Linked DNA regions of Drosophila melanogaster. The protein of the gene in region 2 interacts with the protein of the main gene of each other region in a pairwise test. Each region holds a gene or a part of one and is shown on either strand. Other genes may lie near its edges.

Region 1 (4,586 bases), 4.7 Mb from region 2:
TCAAAAATTCCTCATGTAAAAAAGATTTTTCTTGGATTTAGTGCTTTCTAAATATTAGGTTTGTAACGAATTATTTTTGAGTTCAGTTCAAATTTGGCGCGCTCCATTTTCAGTGCTGTAAATTGCCAATGGGTAGTGCTGTATAATGTGAAAACTTATATGTACCCGCTTTGCGTACCTGTACCTAAATTCAATTGTATTTAATTATTTTAGAAAATTATGAGTGAAGTTCATTTGACAAGAAAAAACCATCAATGGGACTCAAGTTGCTTTAGAAAATATAAATTAAAAAATCGATTGATAAACCGATATATAAGTTAATTTAGTTGCCACTATCCATTGATTTAGAAACCTTGTATCTTTCCAAAATGAGGTGATAATTATCTGGGCCATCTGGCCAGTATATATGTACATATTTTCAAGCGCCCTGATAAGCAAGCTTATCTACCCATTTGTCTAGCCCACTCAGCGGGCTGCAGATTAGATAATAGCAGTGGCATATGGATCATCTCACGCTTAATTTATTAGATCTTCCAACGCTGCGAGAAGCGCGGAGGGCAGGGGAAAACAAAAACACAAACATACGTACATACAATTAGCCCTAAGAATGATTCTATCGGGATTACTTGACTATGTATACTGGATAGTGATTACATACATATTGGGGGAGTGGAGTATATGGTATTGCGTCTTCTAATGCTAATGCATACTGTGGTCACAGCTCTGCACTCCTTCTAATCCTGCTTCTTTTGTGCAGCTGTCTTTTTGATCGCTGGCGCAGCCTGGGGACCTTCGATGGCTCCATTGGCTGTCTTGCCCTCCAGCTTCTGGGCGGCATGCTGCTGCTCCATCTCCCCGGAGAAGCCGAACTCATTCACGCGCTTCAAATCGACGCGATACTGCCAGCGCTGGTAGAGGAACACAAAGAAGATGATGTCGTCGCGGAAGCAACCCAACCGGTACATTGTGGGCATTTTGATCACAAACGCAAAGATGTCATCGATAAAGGTGTTGAGGAACTTGTAGGTCATCATGCGCCACGGCATGTGGGCCACCGACTTTAGCTTGTAGTTGATGAATAGCTGCGGCGTCATCAGGATGAAGCCAAAGGTCAGCAGATAGCCGTACAGCATGTTGAGCACAAATGAGTACCAGCCCTTGTGCTCGTTGTAGATCAACGAGTAGACAAAGTAGGCCACCAGGAGCGGGAAGCATGCCCAGCCCAGGTACTTGAAGGCCAGTTTGTCATAGTCTTTGGTCGAGCTCTCCGAATAGGAGCCCTTGTCCTGGAAACTGATTCTCGGCAGCACTCCCAGAATCTTTTGATCGTGATCGTAGTTGATATCCACGACCTTGTGAATCTTCCACACCTCGATTCCCAGTCCCACGAAACAGGAGATGCGAATCATGAAGTTGGTCTCGTTGTCCAGCACGTACAGCAGGATGATTAGTGACTGGAAGACACCGAAGAACACCGATCGTACAGACAGTCCTTCGAGCGACTTGCGATTGTTCCAGAACTGAATGTCGTTCTTGAAGGCCAGCAGTTCGAACACCGAATGCAGTATGGAAACGGCCACTGTGATGCCCAGCAGGTAGATATTGGTGTCCAGCAGAGTCTCCTTCAGCGAGTCCTGATCCTCGTCACTCTCCTCCGGCTGGCTGGCGGCCATCAGCTCACCGAGCATATTGCCAGCCCACTTGTTCTTCATCTGTTTGGCGGCATACAGCTGCCACTTGAACATGCCCAGCGGCTGGAAAGTGAGGTGCAGCTCCAGTTCGGGAGTGGTCTCATTAATGGGTTGATACTCCCGCTGAAGATTCCAGTAGTCGTTGACGAACAGGATGGGCAGATAGGTCTTACCGCCGTCTACGAACTTTACGTAGTCATCCAGTGGCGGCGGCACAGATCCCTCGGCCCAGTTAGTTTGGTCCACTACGAGATTGACCGTGAGATTAGGATGCCAGTGAGACACGATGGTATCCTTGAGATTCGCATGCTTGAGCTCGTGCTCCAACTTCTCCTTCTCGCTGGCCAGCAAGTTGTAGTTGCGGTTCACACGCAACTTCTTGAACTTGTTCAGCTGATGTTGCTGGTGGCCCATTTTGGTGGCGTAATTCGGGGCTTTGGGATCGGGACTCATGCCGGTACGCGTGACAAAGGCATGTAGGTACACACTGCCATTGTTCATCAGATGCTGGCTGGTCTTAAGCTTCAAACTGTGCGTGTAAATGCCATCTCCGTTGACGCCCGACGTCCAATCGCCATAGGTGAGGTCCTTCTGTAGCCAGAGGAGATTCGCCTTTTGCTGGAAGTTAACCACATCGGGATTCTCCGACAACCACACGTGCAGGTCAAAGTCCGTGCCGTTCTCGAAGTAATTCCAGGCCGTGATCTTGGGACCCGCATTAGCGACACTTTTGCCTTGACTGGCGGCATCGGGCGCAGGTCGTCGGAAAAAGGAGCTCACAAAGTAGATGATCAGGGCACGCAGGATGAGGGACTTGGTCATCGCAAAGAAGGACTCCATGCGGGTGGGCTGATTCGGCGGGGGTTGTTGTTGCTCATTCTGGCCTTCATTTTGGGCCAGCTCAGCGTTACCATTGCCCGCAATCACCTAGAAAAAACGATGAGAACCAGGTCGCTATTGTCAGGTGATTGGGGTTGAGAAAGGTTTAAGTTTCTCAGATACTTACCGCACCCTCTGCTGCGGGCTGATCTTCGCCTGCTTTCGACATGCTCTGTTCTCAAGGGTTTTCCACGCTTTTCCCTTAGTTTCCCGTTTTCCGCACAACTTGTGCTACTGTCATCGATAGGTAAGTGTTGAGGACCTATCGAGCCATTAGAACTTCGATATCGAAAGGGGTATTTTTCAGAATCTATCGATTTGACGCAGAATGGAAAAGCACGGTGTTCTCACTATAAAGACATACTTTTTTCACTAAGTCAAATACAAATTTATTTATTATATGTGACATATTTAGCAATACACATTTTTAGAATATCGTTGGCTTAAATGTATATCCCTTACTTACTTATACTTACTTACTTACTTATACTTATACAACCTAGTATTCAATTATTGTTCTTAGTAAAATGGACAGCAACTTGAATATTTTTGTATAAATTCAAAAGGTTTAATATCTGAAAAAATATTTCATAAATTCATTAAAAATATAATTTAAATCGATTAGGCGGTTTTTCAATAAAAAAAAATATGCGTAATATGTAATATTTGAACCTTATCTAAAATATAATTCTATATACAAGTTTTGATTTCAATTTATTTGTATACAATGCAAATAGCATTTTCATGCCATAATAATATAATTTTGAATTAGCTTAGCTATCAGTGAGGTAGCGTTGGGCTATAAAAAAACACGAAAAACTATATGTTGATATTGTAAAGTTGGTCTCGGTTCAAATGGTAAAGATATTTTGCATTAATTAATTTGAGTGTCTGAATATTTTTTACAGTTCCATTTAGAATGTTTTGGTATTTAAAAAATAGTATTTTGGTATATTTGCAGTGCTCGGCGGCGGCCACACTCTCTTTTCCCTTTTTCTTTTGAATAGCATTTGGTTGCACGTTTCCTCTGGTGAGTTTCCATTAAATATATTAAAAATAAACGAAAAATCGCAATAACGTGGCAGAATGTAAACATATTGTTGTTTAGTGACGTATTTGTGATATGAAAAAGATGGACACTGGTGCTTGTCGACCGGTGGAGCTGTTTCTGTCGAACGAAACATGCCAGCAAGTCGGACCTAACCTCCAATCTTTGCCCGCTCTTTGGGACGCACAAGTTCGCTAAGAAATCGTACGATTTGGTACTGATTTATGTTTTATATTGCTTTCAGTGACGCCGCCATTATGCAGATCTTCGTGAAAACCCTCACCGGCAAGACCATCACCTTGGAGGTGGAGCCTTCTGACACCATCGAGAATGTCAAGGCTAAGATCCAGGATAAGGAGGGCATTCCCCCAGATCAGCAGCGTCTGATCTTCGCCGGCAAGCAGCTGGAGGATGGCCGCACTCTGTCCGACTACAACATTCAGAAGGAGTCCACCCTGCACTTGGTGCTCCGCCTGCGTGGTGGTATCATTGAGCCCTCGCTCAGGATTCTGGCCCAGAAGTACAACTGCGACAAGATGATCTGCCGCAAGTGCTACGCCCGTCTGCATCCTCGTGCCACCAACTGCCGCAAGAAGAAGTGCGGACACACCAACAACCTGCGCCCCAAGAAGAAGTTGAAGTAGACTATGATCATCCGTCGACGGTCCAGGCTGGTCTTTCTATCGACAAAACCATGGTTAACCATCTAAGTAAATATATGTACATTTTGTGAAACCACATCTAATCGAAATGTATTGCATTTGCTGCCAAGGCACAGCCTATTTACACCGTGTATGTTTCTGTTTTCCTGTCATCTGTTTTCGTTTGTGGTCTCCGAAGAACGAGTTTCTGCGGTTTTAGGAAGCTCTTATACTGCAATTAGTTGGCCTCTCCGAGATCTCAGTTAGTTTTTCTGCTCTGTTTCTGGTTCTGTCTCGCCACCAGGAAGCGGGCGACAGCAGCAGGTA
Region 2 (8,309 bases):
CCGTTACTCAAAAAAAATGTTTTAAAAGTGTCGGCGTGATGTTTCGAAATAAAAATGCCGCGTGTCAAGATCCGTTACACCCTTTTCAACAAGTCGAGAATACCCTCTTAAGCTACGAGTAACGGGTATAAAAATCGCTGACTGACTTTATTTTTTTTACTGTAATCTTACACATTATCTACACAACCACAAGTATATACAGTGTAGATCAACATTAGATTCGTAGCAATCAGCTTTCATTTGCTGACGTTCCCAACGATCTGCTAAATTTGAATGATGTTTTTTTTTCATTTTTTTTCCCTTCTTTAAAAATAATTTTTTTTTTACTGAATACTGTTTTTACTATTTTATTATTTTCTTTTATAACTTAATCTAATGCAACTATGTTAATCGGATAATCCAAGGCACTTTGTTTACGCTGCTCAATTGAGTGTATGAACTAAAAGACTAGACAGTAAATTTATTCATTTTTAATGAAAATGTTATTTCATTTCTTCCAGGCATGTATGTGTACATGAATTTTATGTAAATATTTGCATTACTCCCGTGGCCAAATTAGGAAAAGACTCACACAAATGATCGGCAAATTAGCTTTGAGTGGTGTGCAAATTAATCTAAAATAACTAGAATCAACAAAATTTTTTTTCTCTCCTAAAACTGAAGCCAGTGGAAAATATTTTGCGGCAACGTTAAAATGTAGACATTGAGTATAAAATGAAAAATTACAACGCTTGATTACAATCAATTTTATTTTTATTAAAAAACTAATGAAAATTTCCTTAAAATTCAAATCACTTATACAAAGTCAACAAAAGCATTAAAACTAATCCTCTTCAAATGACTACATAAGAATTGTCTTTAAAATGTGTTCAGGTAAACAAAAAGATCAAAGTCGTTTATAAAATGAGAATAATTGAATTAATTGATAAGTACTACAATTTCATCTTAAAATTACTTGGTATCTACATTTATTTGTACACGATATACAATTTACATATTTTATCTTACTATTTTCCCATTTTCATTTGTAGACCAAAAAATGCTTGCGTCTTAGGCTACATTCTAGTCTAGCATAAAATCTACGAATATTGATAACGATTTGTTCAGACTGTTCATTCCGTGTGTGTATAACCGATATGGAATATTCTATGGCTATTTTAAAAGCTCTCGTTTTGGGGCCGGCCATAACGTTAACACACTCACAAGCGAGTATATCACCCGGTAGTTACCTCACCATAAATATCACAATAGTATATTAATAATATTGGATCAGGAGGACTACAGGAAGGAGCAGCAAAGGATCAGCACCAGCACCGTAATGGGAAAGATGGCGTATATCTCGCTGCGCGGATGACAGGTGGAGATCAGATTGGTTATATCGTCCTCCTCGTGCTCGATACCATCCCGTGTTGGAACCTCCACCACCACAATCTCATCCGAAAGGAAACTGATGTTGAATGTGCAATTTGTGGTATTCAGACAGCTTTGTGACTCGCTCATGTTTGAGTACTGATACGTCGGCTTGTAAATATCGAATATGGCGTGGATCTCGTTTTGAACGTGATCATTGTCGCTGTAGAATATATAATAGTAGTACCCATCCTCGATGACGTTGTGCACCACCATGGAACTCTTGTTGGGCGAAGTGTCCATTATGTGCGGATTTGAGCATTCATTTTTTGGCCTGAAGAACTCCTGCAGCAGGATCATTCCATTGAAACACTGAAATAGTCCTGTCTCAAAGCTGGACACCGAATTCGACTCGTCCGTTTCCGTAAAATTTATAGCATTTCCTCCATGGATCGTCTTTCTATCGTAGACATTCTCCCTCTTTGATCTTTTATAAAGCGTATCGTAAAGATCCTGTCTCTTCTGATTCCTATGGGCTACCCTATTGTGTCTTTTGAGACGTTCCCGGTGAGGCGGACTTTCCGCACTATAATGGGTCTTACTTGAATTCTGATCTGGATCTTCATCTTCATTTCGTATGTGATTACGACTAGTTTCTTCGTTTGTGATATTCGAACTGTGCTCCCGATGATGGGCAGTACTATTGTGATGATGTGCTGGAGAATTAGAGCTGTGATCATGGTGATTCAATATGTGTTCCGTATGGTGTGATCCTTGCAAATCTGTTATAGCATGCATATCATGTTCGCCATGATGAATTGTGCCCTTTTTCAGTTTTTTCCTAATTAACTTAGGCTGTATAGAATTGTTTTGCTTGACAGGTATGTTCACCTGCGGCTGTGGAATATCCTCAGTCAAATCCTCTCCGCCGTGGTTCTCGTGCTCCATTAGCACATCCTGGTTGCCCTTCTCTTCCGTGATCTCCACATTGTCTTCGAAGAACACCTGCACCTGTTCGTGACCTTTGGCATAATTGGCGCCCAACTTATTCTTATTGTGATCGGTCAGACCGCAAAGATTAAGCTCCCTGTGACCATGGATGATCAGGATGCGGGATCCATCGTAGCGGGAGCAGAATTTCACTCGCACCTTGGCACCTTTCAGCAAGAAGAAGCCCCAGTATTCAAGCGTATCATCCGGCAATGTCATCGACTTCTTCAGCCTAATGTGCTTGCGATTCGTCGCAATTTCCGGCTTATTACGTAGTTGAAAAGCGTTGAAATTGGAGTTCATACGCAGTGTGTGTTTCGAGCAAAAGATCGACGAGATTCCTGCCCGAATCTCAATGATATCGGACTCCGCCATGGGATAGATGACGTCGGCAAACACCGTCTTTCGCAAATGCAGCGGCATAATGATAAGAATGGCCGGCAGTATCACAATCATCAGGCAGAAAACCAGCACCCTTTTCACGCCGTGCATTTTGCGGGTTTCTGCAAATAGAAATGGAAAACAGATATAGATTACTATCTGGAGATAAAAGTTTTTTCTTTTTATATAAAATTTGTTTAATGGCCTGACGGAGCACCTTCAAAGTGATATTCCGTTAACGGCTGCATCCTGACGGCTTTAAATTCGCTGTGACTGTGAAATAGTTTTTCTGCGACAACGTCTGATTGCCAGCCAGGTTTGTTGTACACTGTCTGATTGCGCGATTATCAAATTAGTCTGAGCGAATGGAAGCGGCATGTATTCACGCCTCCCCCTCCTTGCGATCTTATAAGTTCAACGGAGTATTTGTGAGAGGCGAGATTGTATCAACAATCCAACACGATTGTTGATATTGGCCGAGTGTATAACTAAGCTATTCACAAGATTCAATTGGCAGACTCAGATCGATGGCCAACCAAGTGACAGCCGATGTTTGATCGATATTTAGCGACCAGCGACTCTGGATCATTCCCTTCAATTACTGGGCTTTGCGGAAAAAGATTTGCTTATCGTGGTTAACAAGCAAAAATTTAGACCAGGAGCGGTCTCTTTTTCTAGGGTGGCAAATTCGTAGATTTATTTTGAAGTAAAAATAAAAATCTTAAAAATTATCTGCTTATTTTGGTATCCTTTTTTGTAGATCTGATTAAGAATACAAATAATTTATATAATTCTAATATATATAACTTGCATTTTTAAATAAAACACAGTTTACCACAGTTATTAATATTTCATCGTCTGTTAACTTAGTTCTGACAAGTACCTTATGTATAATAGTTTTAATTACTCAGCAATCTCAAATGATTACGCATAGTTTTTGGTACCTTATCAGGGCCTTACCTAATTACCGCCCGCCTAATGATGCCAACAGAGATAAGCCCTGTTTTTTCCCTTATAAAATGATCTTAATATTAGTCTTATCGACGTCAACGCGTTGTGATCAGAAATAAATAAATAAATTCATGTATGCCATACTTATGTGACATAAATATAGAATTTATGGCATACACGAGTTGTGCTTCTTTGTCACGTTTTTGTCGAGTGCTTTTTTAACCCGACTGAAATGTGCGTCGAGATAAAAACAGTATCATAAACAGCTTATCAACGATTTGCTGTTATTCACAGACTCTGGGAGAGAATAAAGAACAAATAAAAAGCCTGCGAAATTCGAAAACTATACCACCTTAATTTGCAAATCTAAGAAAATCATATATTACACAACATTAAATGCTACATTAAGATAGCACACAGAAATATTGAATCAATTTTAAATAATGTTATTCTCTAGTAACCAAACAGTTGCCAGAAATTATTTAAAACTAATTTTTTACATTCACTGATAACAGCTCAATAAATAAATTACGAGTGTTAGTGCCATGATTTTATATACTTTTGGTGCCCTACTTTCAAAAGAATATTGTTATCAGCGATACTATGAACAGACTTGTATTAACCAATGCAATAAGACATATTACTAAGTTAAATGTTACTCATTCATTCTATTTCTGCATACTATTGCCGGTTTCAATTTTCCTTTGTCAGGTTTTCCCGGGTCTTTCCCATGACAACGACACACATATGTGGCCTCAAAAAATGGCATAGGTCGTGAATTATTGGAATTTTATTATGCTTTATATATTGTTTTGCTGAGGTGTCAAGATGATTTAACTAAACAATGTACATTTTGTTTTACCGAGTGTTTTAACTTGCTTCTTTTGTAGTTTTATTTTTAACCAAGATTTCTATTCACAGTGTGTTTCTTTCTTAGCACAACCATTTGTCTTCAGTGTAGTGCGAAAATCCTTGAAATAACCGTAGCCGGTTTTTTTCCGGTTTTGAAAAAGATTTGTAGCCGCCACGGAAATATGCATTTGAAATGCAAAACACCTGTGGAAATGTTATTCTTGTTTGTTTATTTTAGTTTGGCACTTACATTCTGTATCTTCCCTATAGTTTGTTCTATATCTTTGGGATGACAATTGCGATTTGATTTGTGAATTTCACATGTAGTTGTCGATTTCAGTTTCTATTCCTTTGTTTGCATTGCTATTTGCGGTTTAACAAAGTCGCTCAGGTGAGCATATATCCGAAATTAGAAGAATGCATACGTTTAAATATTTTATAAGTCCGAGGAGCGAAGCACACGTGCCGCTTCCCATGGTTATTATCAGAAGCAACTAACTGACTGTTCGTTCAAGCGGTTTGATGTTTTATTTTGACACACATTTTAATCAACAATTTTCTCTATCTCGCTCAACCGCTTATCGCGACACTCTCTCTATTTTTCACTCTTTTATTAACACTTTGTTTCCGCATATCTTTGTTTGTTTTCGAAACACGTCGTGGAATGTTTATAAATAAAGGGTCACTTCAATTGTCTCCTTCACACAACTTAGACCTTTTTCCCCCGTTTTCCAAATGCTTAAATATTTATCCAGGCATTATTATCACGAAATTTTCACAAGACTGGACGACAGAGGAACCAACAAAACGATTCAGTTCACTACAAAGCAATCCAAGAAATGAGACGGGAAACTGACTGAGTGGAAATTTTAACCCCAAACAACTGTAGACGCTCTCTGTGCTCTTTGTTTTAAGCGTGCACTGTAAAAAATTCAACTTCGTATAAAAAATATATTTGCTAAGTTTATTAAAAATTGTGAGTTTAGAATGATTTTGTTATTCTGGTTTTCATTCAAATTAAATATCGGTTTTATTCTTCTTATTTTAAGAAGAAATGTTACGACTTATAGTGAAATATAATTAAGATTTGTTTGAGTGGTTGCTCTCTCTTAAGAGAACGAGAAAAATACTACTAGGGAAACTCATGTGAAGTGAAGTTGGCTGCGCTGAAAAAGTAGGTTTGCAACTCGGCTAACTTGAAGGCGGGAATTTATGATTGTGACGAACATAAATCTTAAATTGAGAAAAATAAAGTAGGGAGGATTAGGAATTTATTATATTTATTTAATAATTTCATTTATTTGTTTAGTATTTGAAAAAAAAATAAAACATGTGTTACATATAATTAATTTAAGTTTAAGGAAAAATTATTGGAATTAATATATGTATTTTAAAATAAAAAAATAGGAGAAATAAAAACTTCTGATGACTTATATTTGGTGGCTTCAGCCTATTTAATAAATACATTTTTGGAGTTTACATTTTTTTAAAGCTTCACTTTCATTTTTTTTTTTTTAGATTTTCGTATAAGTTAACCATATATATGGTAGCTCCAAAATGTCCTTAACTTATAAAAGGACAACTTGCATCTAATTCCCCCCAATACTTACTATGCAAATCCGGCATTGAGTAATAGAAATCCGTGTGATAATAATGCAACTGTCCAGGACTTACTGACGTAGTCCTGTTGAACATCTTTTTGTTGGACATGCTGGATATTTAATTAAATTTCTTTAAAGGAGTGAAAATGAAGACAGAGCTGAACCGACGGCTGCGAATTATCGCAGCGAACTAATGAAATGAATATAATCCAAATCGGGACAGAGCCAACTGTTTGGGATAACGATGACGCTTAGTGCAAACAGTCGTCGCACACTGGTTCATTAAATCAAAAAAAACATTGCGAAAATCGAATTCAATAAAAGGTATCTAAAAAAAAGAAACAATTTTATAAATACTTTATAGTTTATTGATTTTAGGTCCTAATAAACTGCAATATAATTTATATAAATATAATAGTGAAAACTTTAAATTACGCCACTGTGCCTCGGGAGTGCCTGTCCTCATCTGAACTGATACTGATAGTCGCCGACGGCCCATTATCATAATGAATTAGTAAACAATGTTAATAAGTAGACAAAACATAGCCTTTCAAATGATAAGCGGCCAATCATGAGGCAGAAGTTCTGGCTTTCAACCTGGGCACAAGTATCAATTTATCTGACGATTCGACATATTGATTGGATATATAATATGGGACCCAACACAACTTCCGCAGTCCCAAGAATTAGATAAGTGCTTTCATTTCCGCTTTGCAAACTAATGGCATAGCTAATAGCATTGTATAAAGATATAAGATATAAGATTTATTTTCCGGGGTCCGACGACAAAGTTCTTCAGTGTTGTGTGACACCTGTCATTTTTCACCTACATGCAAACAAAGATAAAATTATTTCTTGACGCATCCCGCTTAGTATAAGCGACTTGAGAGTTCTAGATATCAAATAAATTAGGGATTTACAGCACTGTTAATCTTATCTACTGTCAATTATTTTATTGTAAGGGTGGAAAGTTTTGCAACGTAAATGCAGGCTGAATTCAATATGGGTTTGACATTATTTGCTTCTAGGTGTTACATTGGTTGTAGATTTAAGAAATTATTCTCATTTTATAGGTCAATGTATTGTATATAAGTCAAAGTAGAAACATATTGTGAATATTGTGCATTGGCTTGTACATACGTATGCACGCTGAAGTAGATAACAATTAAATTTTTAAACAATGAAATTGTCCCATTCCAGTCGAGAACAAGAGTGACTGGGAGCTGTCCGGATAATGGTAAAATGGATAACTCAGTAACTTATGGGTCTGATTGTGTCACTATCTGTGATTGCTTTTAGCAAGGTTTACCTGAGAAGGTAAAATTGAGATAACCCTGGTTTTAATAATGTTGATATATGGATGGCACCTAGTGCTTTAAGCTTATATTGTTCAAATCACTTGGATTATAACCCAAAAGTATATAGTTAGATAACTAAATTTATCATTAGTTACACCGAAATAACTTCAATGTTCAATGTTTCAATGTTTTGGTCGTTTTCTCGCATGTCTGGTAATTCATATAATTTATCATCTATTTTATTTTTATTCGGTATTAATTTTGTGACCTCTGAAGTGCTGTGATTTTCTAGTATTTGGCTCTTGCATATACAAAACTTTCTGCCTCGCAATCTTCGCATGCAACTCGAGTCATTTTGATAGTTATTCAATCGGTTTATGGACTCCACATTTATATATTCCAGTTCTTGGCGATTATTAGCGTAGCGGATAGTTGTGGAAAATTCTGCATTATTTGGGTTGGCACTGAAATATGCTCTATAGGTGCTGCCACTAGATAATTTTCTATCCTTTCGTTGCAACACCATTTTGACTGATTTCAGTGTAAGATTATGGCACAACTCATGCAAGTTGTGATGGTTAAGGAATTCATTTATACTGCGCACAATTTGCTTTCCCACAGACAATTGTTTCATCTGATTGGAGCTAAGCAGCTTGTAGCTATCACATGGACATTGGGATTCTCCTATGCCAGCATCTGAACAGGTTCGATTTTCGGGAACAGGAGCAAAAAGGGTTTGACAAGTGGGGCAATCCACCAGCTTGTCCACCGCTCGAGGCCAACGTTCTCCCAGTTCCAAGAGGTGTTGCAGTGTAAGATGAAGATCGTATGGTGAAGTCAAACGTTTACTATTGATCCTTAATGCTTGAACTATTTCAGGACGGAA

What was found.
Region 1: the proteins of CG31886 (region 2) and CG3702 interact in a two-hybrid assay, tested with the Drosophila melanogaster proteins (one large-scale study listed by BioGRID).

What each region holds. Positions count from the first base shown.
Region 1 is NT_033779.5:4,224,150-4,228,735, forward strand, and holds CG3702 (uncharacterized protein), read right to left. Parts: upstream 2,949-4,586; 5' UTR 2,740-2,948; coding exon 2,698-2,739; intron 2,619-2,697; coding exon 735-2,618; 3' UTR 501-734; downstream 1-500. Other genes in the region: RpL40 (ribosomal protein L40), read left to right, coding at 3,876-4,262.
Region 2 is NT_033779.5:8,952,744-8,961,052, forward strand, and holds CG31886 (uncharacterized protein), read right to left. Parts: upstream 6,309-8,309; 5' UTR 6,235-6,308; coding exon 6,135-6,234; intron 5,371-6,134; exon of another isoform or gene 4,775-5,370; intron 3,065-4,774; exon of another isoform or gene 2,970-3,064; coding exon of another isoform or gene 2,939-2,969; intron 2,844-2,938; coding exon 1,279-2,843; 3' UTR 738-1,278; downstream 1-737. Other genes in the region: CG9525 (uncharacterized protein), read right to left, coding at 7,575-8,309.